3 linked regions of the Caenorhabditis elegans genome follow. The protein of the gene in region 1 interacts with the protein of each later gene in a pairwise test. Each region holds a gene or a part of one and is shown on either strand. Other genes may lie near its edges. The genes, in order: cec-1, C38D4.7 and tbx-9.

Region 1 (4,501 bases):
AATTCGGCAAATTTGGCAAATTTGCCGCACACCCCTGCTCCACACAATCAATTTTTCAACTTTATCAAGCTTGTTTCAGTTTCCGTAAGATTTTCGCATCTCCCAGGTTCTCTGAATTCGTCTTTCAGATCAAAACCTATTTGGAATTGACTACACAGTTTAGCCAAAGTTGTCACAAAAAATTTCGAAAATTGCCAGAGTTGCCGAACATCAGAATTTTCGTCAGCCGACTTTTGGCTAAAACTTGCGGCAGCTGCTGAAAAGCCAGACAGCCCTGTTCTGTACATAGAGTGACAGGAGTCTTTGTCCGTGTGAACTCTGTACTGTGAAACGTTAAATATTGAAATTAATCGGTTCGGTATAAAAGTATTGACTTTTTCAAAAAACTACAGTAACCCAACCAGTTGTAGAAAATACTCAATTGTTAGTGTAAACAGCTAGAAATTTGCAGCCGTGTGATGATCATCTGATGCGTCTCTCCCTTTCTCTTTTTATATTTCATATTTTCCCACCCCCTTTTCTCTCTATAAAATGCCATGTCAACCTATTGGGAAAAAGCAATAGACGTGCGAGAAAACAGAGAAAAGCACTGTGCTGTCCGTCAGTGAGGGGCTGCCTGCGTGGCCGGACAGCGAGAAGACTAGAGCCCGACTGCGAATAGTGTGTCAGAGCAAGAGGAGCAGACGCTGTCGAAGGTTATACACTATGGAAAGAGCGGACAGAAAAGAGAAAATAGACCTCCATCACACACAGAGAGACACAGCCCACATACACACAAACAAACCAAGGCGATGTCGTCGTCTTCTTCTCCTTATTTCATTCTCGTATAACTCTCTCACTGTCTTCCCATCTCTGTTAACTTGTCAAAATTTTCTCTAGTGCCAAAAAAACATTATTTTTTAATAGCAAAAAAAAAGTTTAAAATTTTAATAATTCTAGTGGTAATATACAGTCAAAATGGTAAATTTCCATAGTCACCACAAAAATGTAGTAAAAAAACATTTCAACAAAATTATTTTTTATCCAAAGTAACAAAAATCTTAAGGTTTCGAAAGTTCGAGGTGACGAACAGTACACAAAAGCTAGTGCAAACCTTTTGATAACCATTTTTCAAAATTTTTGTAAATTTTATGTTTTGTTGTTGCGATATTTGTATATGTTATTTTCGAAGCATTCTCATAATATATTTTTAAAAAACCCCTACATTCTAGAATGTGTTTTTTCTACAATTTTTTAGATTTAATGTAGTTCAAAAATGGTTTTTTCTCTTTTTCATTTTTATTTTGAAATTTCTTACAGGAGCAGTTTTCCAAACATACTCCGAAACTCAAAATGGCAGTAGTACCATCAGATTTTAGAAGGCTTTCTTTGATTCCTGAGGTATACTGCCTAAATATATTTTCCTTGAAATTTTCATTGCTCATGTTGTAATTTTAGTATTGTTTGAAATCCTGTTGCAACCCTGGTGGCTTTTAGTCAAAAAAAAAATAAAAATTATACAAATTATGTTAAGCCAGATATAACCATTTTAACTTTAGTCATTTTTATGTTCTACATTACATTTTAGCTGTTACTATTAAATTCTATCAAAATTAGCAACAACTTTAATAGAGAAAATTTTAAAACGTTTCAAGTTTACCACTCAATTTTTTTTTCACTTTTCCACTTATTTACCAACACCAATCTAATTGTAGAACCATGGCCGACGGATCAGAGCTCTACACCGTCGAGTCAATTTTGGAACATCGCAAGAAGAAGGTAATTAAGTTCAACTTTTACTTTTTTTTTCCTGCCTGGCACTCAGCCAAGTCATTCTTCTATCCTTCTCTAGTTTTTTTTTTGCAAACGCGTAATCAAGTTTGAGAGACGCAGAGACAAATAAACATAGGGAACGTTCGGTTTGAGATGGATTGGGAGAAATTGAAGAGAAAATAAAATGGCAAGATATATTTGAAATATGTAATTAACGATTTTGCAGGGAAAGAGCGAGTTCTACATAAAATGGCTCGGATATGACCATACGTAAGTTTTCTCTCTCGAATTTTTTCCAAAACATTTTCATAAAGTTTTTTGAAGCATATTTTTTTGATTCAATTAGTTATTCCAAATTATACCCATTTTCAGTTTTGAAAATTCCAGAAAATTTTAGTTATTTTTATTACAGTCTTGTTTGGACTAAATCGTGTAATTTTCAGTCACAACAGCTGGGAACCAAAGGAGAATATAGTCGATCCAACACTAATTGAAGCGTTCTTCACGCGAGAAGCAGCTCGTAAAGCAGAAATCAAAGCTAAAAAAGATAAAATGGCTGCTGGAAAGAAGGGTGCATCTTCGAAAGCTTCTGCTTCAGTAAGCAAAGCATCTGCTTCAACTCCTGCTCGTGGAGCTAAAGCTGCTCCAAAACCCCCACCCAAAAAATCCCCACCAAAGAGGCAGAGACTAGCAGGAGGTGATATCCGACCAGATAGTGATACGGATGAAGAACATTCTTCAGCTGATAAGAAATCAAAAGCAGAGGATGAAGAAGAAGTTGAAGATGATGAGGAGCCAGTGCCAAAGAAAAAGAAGGAGGTTCAAGAAGAACCTGAAGAAGAAGAGTCTGTAGAAGGAGAAGATGAGGAAGAATCCCAAGAGGTTGAGGATTTGAAGGAAGATGAAAAAATGGAAGAAGACGAGAAAGAAGAAGAGGAGGACGTACAATTAGAATCAGAGAAAAACGAGAAAGAAGAAGAAGAGGAAAAGGTGGAGGAAAAGAAAGAAGAGGAAGAGGAAGAAGAGGAGGAAGAGATTCAATTGGTTATTGTAGAGAAGACGGTCATTGAGACTACGGTATGTCATTTCATTTTTTATTACTTTTCTACTTTAACTGCTAATATTTTGGTGTTCGTTAGCTTTATCAAAACAATAAACTTTCAACAAATATTTTTAATAGTGTAAGTTTTTGAAAAAGCAAGTCAACTGATGTAGGAGAAGTCAAAGTTGAGGAATATGGGTAGAATACTGTACTTCTTAAATAATTTATATAATTTGAATACGGTTTTTAGAGAAATTTTCATATTTTTCCCCTCTAAGTACGTCTTAACCAAGTTGCCGGTTTCCGAAAAATTGACAAGTTCTACAACCCGACAAATTCTGTGTTCGGCAAATTCAGTGATTTTCAGTTTCCTAAAAATTTCAGCGTTAAGTAATATTGCTGGAAGGTTTATTTGCCGCACATCCTTGTTATTTTTTATCTTTCGGTTGTTTTTGAGCTGATTAAACAATTTTAATACCGAAGTATTGAAAAAACGTAAAACATAACTTTACTTAAAATTATGTTTATCTTTATTCAAAAATATGAAATTTTGCGATAAAAAGTTTTCCGAAATGCTACGACTTTTAAGAGCTATTTTTGAACGTACTTTAAAGATAATATTCCTTATAAAACTTAAAATAAAAATGTTTCAGATAGTGGAACCAGCTGTAGCTACTCCCGAGCCATCCGAGCCATCGTCTTCTGAGAAGGCTGTAGTAGAAAATGGATCTTCTTCTGCTGCTGCAGGAAATTCTGCTTCAAAACCAGAAGTTTCTGCCGTAGAAGTCGTCACAGTTGAAGACGACGATGATATTGCAATTATCGAATGAACAAAATATAAATAAAAATCAATAATCACTGATTCTCTATTATGTGTTTTATGAAAAATCTCTCTGTCTCTCTAATTCCCTTCATCATCCTTTCACTCGTTTCAACTCACTCTCAATATTATCATTTAACTTAAATCTTATTTTTCTGTCATCTCTTAAATTTGTTCCAGATAACCAAAGTCTTTAATCAGAAAATCATTATTTTGTCTATGTCACTCATTCAACATCAGTCGCCGTCGCCCTCACCCAAGAAAAAATTCCATGTTACAATTTTATTTACTGCATTTTTTTGAAATAAAATAAATACAAATATTATCGATTTGGAAAAGGCATAAACATTACAGAGAAGCACTGACACAAATTTCCAACAGAACAGTGTTGGTCTACCAAAAAACAAAACATAAAAATTCGGTATTTGATGAGAAAGAGGCTTATATATTACGGGAACACACAATTTTGAGAATATGTATTGTGCAATTAATTTAAAGTGCAAAATATCCAGTATCGAAAACTACAGCAATTCTTTACTTGTGTCAATTCGATGGAAGGGGAACAATTGAGAGAAATGTAGAAATGTCAGAGTAGAACAAAAAAAGTTAAGCTTGAACTGAAAATCTTAATAGTTATTATAATCGTGCAATGGTAACAAACATATAACTCCTTAATTTCTGGAGCCAAAATAGCGGCAGTGAGAGAGAAAGTGGAAAGCTCACCGAGTGAAAAAACATTCAATAACTGGAAACTTTGCCCCGCCCCTTTTCTTGGATTGTATAGAGTTGATCCACATTTTCCCCAGAGATAGCTAGAATTTGAACTCAAAGAACACTTGGAAATACTTTTTCTATTAAATGAAATATCAATTTTCATATATTTCTCT
Region 2 (3,690 bases), 3.6 Mb from region 1:
AGATATGATTTTGTCTAAATACTCTTAAAATGTCCCAAAAATCCAAATATCTAAACATGTTTAAGATTTTTCAACTTTTCCAGTCAACTTTGGCAAATTGCCAATTTTTTTACCAATTTGGACTTTATGAAAAACTTCGGGCAATTTTGTAAATTTGAACAATCACAGCGTTTAAATACATATAATTTAAATATAATTAAAATACAAAACTATTAGAAATCATATTTTCCGGATTTCCAAAATTATGTGCTTTGAAAACTGAGGAATTGCCACTTTTTGTGGACTTTGGAGAAAAAAAAATGTTTTCAATTGTTAAAGATATTTTACCATCAAGATCTGATTTTTCTAACCCCAATTTTATAAATTAAAACAAAAAGAACTGAAAAAAAATCATAAATTTCTAGTCAAAAATTACTCAGTTTTCACTTATCATCATTTTGGACGTTGATCATAAGTTGTATTGTATTGTATTTATTACGATAGAGTTGTTCAACAAATTTGGTAATTTGCCAAAAAATTTGACAAAATAGTCCGAAAAGTTGTTTCAATTAGATACTTGGTTTTTTGTAATATGTTTTAGTTTTAGTATATTTGGTATGAAACTCCTTACAATTGGAGATGATGTTCTTTTTTCCAATGTTCCACATTTTCCTAATAATCCGTTTTATCTTTCCTTGAATACATAAACACATTCTCTTGAAGATCATACTAATTGTTTATATCACAATGTGCTCTTCGTCGGGCTCGCGTCAAAAGATGCGCGAAAAGAAATGCGACACCTCCTCCTCCAACTGGGTCGGCGTTAGGCTTTTTCTTTATTCCTTCCGCATCACGCTCGTAAATCGTGGTATCAAGCTGAGAAGGGCCGTCTTTCTCTGGCTTCGGTATCGGTATCTCATTGCGAAAAAAGCAAAGGATATAAGCACTTAAATTATACAAAAGATTATACATTGTTTGGTGTTTTGCCGCACAGTAATCCGCAGTAAGACAATCCAAGTGGTTGCGCCACCCGTCTGTGAGAAACCAACAAAAAAGTTTCACAAAAGTTTGGAATACCTGGGTTAAATTACATTTTAAAAAGTTTCAGGAAAAAGTACATTCTGCATTTTAGATTTTTTATTTCGTTCATGTTTTGGTAAATTACCAAATATTCCAACAACGTTTTTTTTAGTAATTTAGAGAAATTTAGAATTGAAATATGAATATAAAGTTATTTTTTTGATTCGTTTAAAATTATAGAAAGATGCTTAACAATTTTAGAATATAATCCTCCAAATAATCGGGGAAAATTCTTCAATTGATAACTTTCATACTGTATACTTTCAGAATGCAACATGTTATCTTCAGGCCATTTAAATATTTTTCTATATTTTGAAACTAAATTTTAATTAAAAATATAGGCACAACATTCTGAAATAGGCTATTTTGTAGAAGTGATGCACACACAAACTTTGGCAGATTGTATCTCAGCTGCTATTAGTCTTAATATCAAAAAATGGCAACAAGAAAAATATGTTTTATGTATTTTTCTCTACGACATTGCTGTTGAAAATTTGTTGATATCTTTCAAATGCAGAGAGATATGAGCTTCCCAAAAGAGCAACTACGGCAAAAAATAAAAACTGTATTGTAAAAAATTTTCAAAAATTTGCTTTGAAAATTTTTTTTTGGAAATATATTCAGAATATTCTTTTCAATTTCATTGAAGTTTTCTAATTTTTCCCTTTAAAACAAAATGTTTTTAAAAAACGAAAAAGATGAACTTCCGTATGACCTCACGTGCCTCTTGAAGAGATGGGCGAAGCAACGTGTGCCACGTTTTTCGTCAGAATCGACATTCTCGATTTTAACAGTTCACTTTTTCACCTTTTCCTCTTTCCTTTTCAGCTTTTGATTCGGAATTTTTTTTATTAGAACGTGTTCACGCTATTCTTCTCGTTGGGTCTCGCCACGATCACTGTCGTTTTAGCTGCTAAAAGTGCAAATCTTCACAAAATCATACATTTCAGGATGAGCAAGCCAAGCACTCCAGCTCCAGCCTCTGCTGACCAAGTGAGTTTTTCATTTCATTGTACCTAAAAAATAATCGTTTTCAGAATGGCGATTCCGCCACCCGACAGACTGCCCAGACTACTGAAACTCCCGCGAGTTTGCTTTCTGCTGTGGGAAATGGTGCACCGAATATGGCGGGATTTACCCTCAACCGCGATATGGTCCCATTCTTCCCCTACCAACTCCAAAATCCGATGCTCCAACCACCACAAAACTCTTTGGAAAATGCGGTTAGTACATTGACTTTTACAATTGAGCCATTACTGAAATGGAATTATTTTTCAGATTGTGCACTCACTGGGTACTCTGGCTGCTCAGTCATCCATGTTTGGGCAGTTGTGTGAGAAGATGCTAAAAGCCCAAGAAGAAGCTCGCGCCGATCAACGATCCATTCGCGAAGAGCATCGAGCTGAAAGAGAGAAGGCCGACGAGCGGAGCCAGCAAAATATGGATAAGATGATGGCACTTGTCCATTCTCTCGTGGAACGTGTCGATAGGAGCCACGCTTCGTCATATGATGTGGTTGGTCAAAAGAATCCATCGTCCAGCTCCCTCAAACCAGCGAAAAGAGTCAAGTCTGCCGTTGTTCGTCAATCCAATTTAGCCAAGCGGACCGGAGCACCTGTTGATGCTGCAAAGGAGTTGAAAAAGATTCGAGATGAGGAAAACAGAAACCATGGACGATCTGCTGAAAGGTAATTCTAGTTGTGTTTTTTTTTTCAATTTAAATGAGAGTTTCAGAGATAATGTGTTCATCGGTGCAGTGCTGGTGGGGAAAGGATCTCAGTACGATAAGGTAAGCCTGAAAATTATAAAAAATTAGTTGAAGTTGTTTTTCAGGATCTTGAAAAATTCAAGAGCTTCCGATGCAGGACCTGCAATGAAGTTTCCCAGACGAAGGAGCAGCTCGTGGATCACTTTTCAAACAACCACGCCGGCGAACTTGGGGCGAGAAGGTCACTGCGAATAAAGCAGACCTCGTGTTAAATTTCTTTTTTAATTTATATTCGTTTTTGTTTTAAAATTTAAGCTTTTTTGATACAAATAAATTTTATAGTAAATAAATCTTGTTTCTCCTACCAGCTATCTAACTATTCCCAACAGTGGGTGGCAATAAATACGAGACGCGGCTCTTCTCACGGCGGTATCATAGATGCACAAAGAGCAAAACGATTACGCAACAGACAGCCGGGTCATATTCAGGTCAAACTTGATAGTGCATGAAATCGAGTAGTAAGCGACTCTTTGATATTTTCAGATGCTCCATTTGTTGTTCTTCATGACAGCTGCAGAGTTCCCAGATCGTAAATGTTTAATGTTCTGAAAGAAGGTACATAATCAGTCAAAGGGCGGTCTCATTGTTGCCTTTTATATCAAATCTTTGGAGGACAAATTGTCGATTTCAGCAACATTTTTTGTTAAGAATCTCCAACTTTTAGAATAACTATTTAATAGATCACTCGTTTCTGATAAGAGAAATAATTCTCTGCTACCGTAATCTTTGCTCCACATGAACCTGTCAGTCATAAATGCTCATTCGTATCGTACTCAATTAAACTTTCATCGCTCATTTATTTCCTAATGAACATCGTAATGGAACCTCAATTCCAGATGGGCTCAATGGCCGGTAGACTTACT
Region 3 (4,395 bases), 1.9 Mb from region 1:
TTTCTTTGTTTGACATAGACACCAAAATAGCTGCACATGATATTTTCAGCAAAATTAGACAAAACAATGAATGTCAGCACTTTGTTCTCGCCGCCACGTGGCAGACACGCGTACAACGAGGAGTTCGCACCTGTGGAGGAGGATATACATTTAATTAATAGGTATGGAATTGAATTAATAAATTTAAAATTTTATTTTGTTAGGGAAGGAATGTGATTTTTAAATTTTTTGAACAAGTGTTTTAGTGTTTTTAAAAACATTTTAAAAGCAGGAAACCTCAATTTTTGTGTTCCTGGGAAAAAAAAATTCAGAACAACTAATCAGTGATTGTAAACCTTATCACCTGTATATCCATTGACGCCAACTAACAATTGTGGAGGTTATAAATCCGCCACGATGTTTATCGACCACCTGATTTAGAGGTACCCCCCGTAAAAACACCGACTCGGAGAGTTTTGGGAAGAGTAAAGTTTTACAGCTTTTTTTTTGGTGTTTTGGAGATCAGTCTTATTTTCTAGGAAAATGGGGCTAATGGGGTCGGAGAAATTTGGGTTCAGATAACAATTTGGGAAACGATTATCTCGAAAAGCTTCGAGTTTACCGAATAGTTGCCAACTGACAAAATATAGCTCTGGAAATTATGAACAATCAGTTAGTTGACAAATTTTTGATAGCTGCATCCACAAAAAAGTTAGACCCCGGAAAAAAATTGAGTTTTTTTTTGAAAGTTGACATCTTTTTGATAGCTTTTGGGAAGACGAATATATCAAAATTATCCTGACTTATAGACTTAAAAGGTTTGCTCAAAAATTGCTCAGAAATTTTAATGGATCTGCAAAATTTGGAGAGTTTTTCCTAATATTTTTGAGCAATGTTTTAGAACATTCGTTATGAAATTCGAATTTTTAATATCACTTTATGTCTAAAAATGCAAAATAATTTTGATCCGTTAACCAATGTTTTCTTTTATCCATTTTCCTTCAGCTACCAATTTTTACACCTCCAGTCAATACTGTCGGTGTTCTATCAAAAGAGCCCACTACAACTAACCGGCTCAAAAATTTTACAACGTATGCTCTTTTGGAGGTAACCGACAAAAAAGGGGTATACTTGGAAATGGTATATTATCTGGAAATAGAAGGAGGGTTTGAAGATGGAATAATGGGTAATTGTGGAAGGTATGAAAATGTAAAATGGTAAAATCTTTATTTTGAAACATTAAATAAAGTTATTTTTTTCAAATTTCGGTTTTTATATGGTACAAAAAAATTCAGTTTACATTAATTTTTACTGTCATTCTTTCTTGAGAAAAGTGATCTCAAAGTAAAAATATACAAAATCCATACTGTCGATAAGCATGGTATACATAGCATAATTCTTTAATTAATAAGGAAGTTGTATCATCTTTAAATTTTGAACATTTTTTGAAGTTTACATAAAACCAACATTTTCGGACCGTCTTCTCTATTTCTATGCCACATCAGAATTTGATCTCCCAATTTTGTTTTGAAAGTATACCCAACTCTTTTGATCTACCAGTCAGCCGCCAAGTCTTCCCAGAATCGATAGCCGAGAGGGCCACGCGCACAACCTGCCCGCCCTTGCAGAGGGGTGTGGTTTGGCAATGAGGTGAGATGGGGTGAAGATGTGCACAATTTCTCACTTCTTTGTCTTAAATCACCATTTTTTTGTGATGACATCTCTATCTTATCGTGTTTCTTATTTTTCTATTTTTTTGTTTTCTTATTTTTGAACGGCGGGGATATCTCAGACGTTATCTCAAAACTGGCAAGAGATACCAAATAGTTGTCAACTAACAAAATATTGCAAATTTTATCATTGTTGCTTTGTTAGTTAACAACTTTTTGCTAGATACCACCGTTTTTAAGTTAGAATAGTTTTCCCGCTCCTCCTTCTCACTGGTACCACACTCTAAGCAAGTGTAGCTGCCAAACCGGTGAGAATATAACATTATATCTTATACCATTTTCCAACTTTTTTTTTGCTGTTCGTTTTCATAATATATTTTAACGTTTTCAGACAAAAAATGTCCAAAGTCAAAGTATCAATCGAAGGATCCCAAGAAACTCTCTGGAAGATATTCCACGCAGAAGTCAACGAGATGATTGTCACGAAGAACGGCCGAAAGTTGTTCCCAAAGTTGGAATATATAGTCGAAGGGCTTGATGAAAACAAGCTGTATGCAATAATGCTCCAATTACAACCAGTTGGAGAAAGTCGATTCAAGTTCAGCGGTGGAAAGTGGCAGGAAACGGGCAAAGCTGAGAAGCAGGTCGACGCGAAGAAGATGTGGCATGCTGATGGAGTTCGGAAGGGAAGGTGAGTGTGACATAGGAATTGGAAGATTAGAAGCTATGAAGATTTGTAAACTGACATGATTATCAAAATAGTGAGAACCATTTTGTCAATTGGCAACTTTTTTTAGCTCCGCCCTGGTATTACAACTTCAAAGCGCCATATCTCAGCGGGCTTGGAAGTTTTAAAAAAGATGTTAACTGGAAAATTGTTAACTGATTTATCATCTACAATTTGCCAGTTGACAACTTTTTTCTAGCTTGAGCCATTGAAGAGTTAGAGCTGCCGACACTGGCATTCAAATGCCTTTGGAATATTTTGAGGGTTACATCTCATCTAACATTAAAGTTTTCAAAGTTTGTCGTTTGTCAACTGACAACATAATTCAGATGAAAATAATTCTAAATTTGCTAAATTTATATCTTCAAAGTAACCCCAATTAATTTCAGTGACTGGATGTGGAGTTCGATTTGCTTTGATCGTGTGAAAATCTCCAACTATTCAGAGTCCAACAACGCTTCAATGGTAGGATTTCAACTTTAAAATTACTTGGCAATTTCCAATTTAAAATTGAAATTTCAGATTTACCTCAACAGCATGCACAAGTACATTCCAGTGCTGACAATCTACGAGTCTCCATCGGAGAGCCCTTTCTGCGTCCCACAATCCTCAAACCAAATCGTCGCCACCGCCAAATTCCCTCATACCGAGTTTATTGCAGTAACGGCTTACCAGGTTAGTATTGAGAGTAAGAGTATTAGCGCATGGATCTTATCTCGGAAGAATCAATATTTTGTGAACAATGGGAAATCTGGGAAGGAAGGGGGAAGTCTTGTCAACCATCATACTTATCAAGAAGTCGTTAACTAATAATTTGTAACCCTAGTTGTAAAGATTAATTAGTTAGTTGACAAGTTTTTAATAGAGTTAAAAGAAGGAGAGTTACACTTGCTCAAAATTTGGCTCTATTTATAAATTTGAAACTGCGCTACTTTAAGCACTCCTACCTCGCCAATAAAAAGAGCTATATAAAAGTTGTCAACTACAAAAATATTGCTCGCTTTGTGATCCATAATATGGTGTTTAACAATTTCTTAATAGATTCTTTGTTTTCAAAGATAGAGAGAGTTGAATAATAAACCTAATTTTTCCTCATTTCAGAACCAAAAAATCACCGACTTGAAAATCAAGCACAACAGTTTTGCCAAAGGTTTCCGTGACGGGAACTTGAGTCGCAAGAGAAGATCACCATCATATTCCGACGGCAGCAACTCACAGTCCCCATCGCCAAAATCCAGATCACCACCGGAGGTCGCACCTCTTCAGTCGATGCCTCCAATCAACCCATTTCTTTTTTATTTTCCCCATATGTTATCTGAAAATCTTCCAGTCCAATTTCCATTCGCTTTTCCATTTCTCTCGCCTCTCCCGTCGACTCCTTCCAGCTCGAGCAGTGAGCTGAGCATTGTGAAGGAGGAGGATCAGGAGGTAGAAGAAGATATTGATATTGTTGGTTGATAATTTTTATGCAAACTGGTCGCTTTTGATATCATGTAATCAAAATTTTTAATATATAAATATATAAAGCTTTATATTTTCAAAGAAACGACTTTTTGAAGACCCGCCGATTAAATTAGAAGTTTGTCGACTGAAAAAGGCAGCCTAGACTGCTAGCCAACAATTTTTATACCTACAATACTTAAAAATGTATTGTTTAAAGGAACACGTAGTTTTCTGAGTGGGTCTTGCCACGATCACAGTCATAGTGGTCGCTGCAGAACCCACATTTTTAGATTTGCTTATTTGATGTTGAAATGGAAAATTTTCAAGACATTACGAGAACACACAATTCTGAGGATGCGTATTGCGCAACATATTTGACGCGCAAAATATCTCGTAGCGAAAACTACAGTAATTCTTTAGAAGACTACTGTAGTCAAGGGTTCGACTTTTTGAATTGATGTTCAATTGATGTTCAATATTTTCCTCCTTTTCTTCTAGTCTGATTCATTTCAAAAATCGAGCTCGTAAATCGACACAAGCGCTACAGTAGTCTTTTGAAGAATTACTGTAGTTTTC

Evidence for each region.
Region 2: the proteins of cec-1 (region 1) and C38D4.7 interact in a two-hybrid assay, tested with the Caenorhabditis elegans proteins (one large-scale study listed by BioGRID).
Region 3: the proteins of cec-1 (region 1) and tbx-9 interact in a two-hybrid assay, tested with the Caenorhabditis elegans proteins (one large-scale study listed by BioGRID).

The regions. Positions count from the first base shown.
Region 1 is NC_003281.10:8,424,642-8,429,142, forward strand, and holds cec-1 (Chromo domain-containing protein cec-1), read left to right. Parts: upstream 1-1,691; 5' UTR 1,692-1,698; coding exon 1,699-1,758; intron 1,759-1,978; coding exon 1,979-2,022; intron 2,023-2,195; coding exon 2,196-2,829; intron 2,830-3,447; coding exon 3,448-3,624; 3' UTR 3,625-3,942; downstream 3,943-4,501.
Region 2 is NC_003281.10:4,809,471-4,813,160, reverse strand, and holds C38D4.7 (C2H2-type domain-containing protein), read left to right. Parts: upstream 1-1,865; 5' UTR 1,866-2,010; coding exon 2,011-2,052; intron 2,053-2,096; coding exon 2,097-2,282; intron 2,283-2,337; coding exon 2,338-2,747; intron 2,748-2,793; coding exon 2,794-2,848; intron 2,849-2,892; coding exon 2,893-3,039; 3' UTR 3,040-3,130; downstream 3,131-3,690.
Region 3 is NC_003281.10:10,339,504-10,343,898, reverse strand, and holds tbx-9 (T-box transcription factor tbx-9), read left to right. Parts: upstream 1-2,040; 5' UTR 2,041-2,047; coding exon 2,048-2,340; intron 2,341-2,765; coding exon 2,766-2,841; intron 2,842-2,898; coding exon 2,899-3,051; intron 3,052-3,477; coding exon 3,478-3,834; 3' UTR 3,835-3,893; downstream 3,894-4,395. UniProt on the Caenorhabditis elegans protein: Transcription factor. Involved in the control of early morphogenesis of the intestine, hypodermis and body-wall muscle. Involved in regulating expression of vab-7. Appears to have partially redundant function to tbx-8.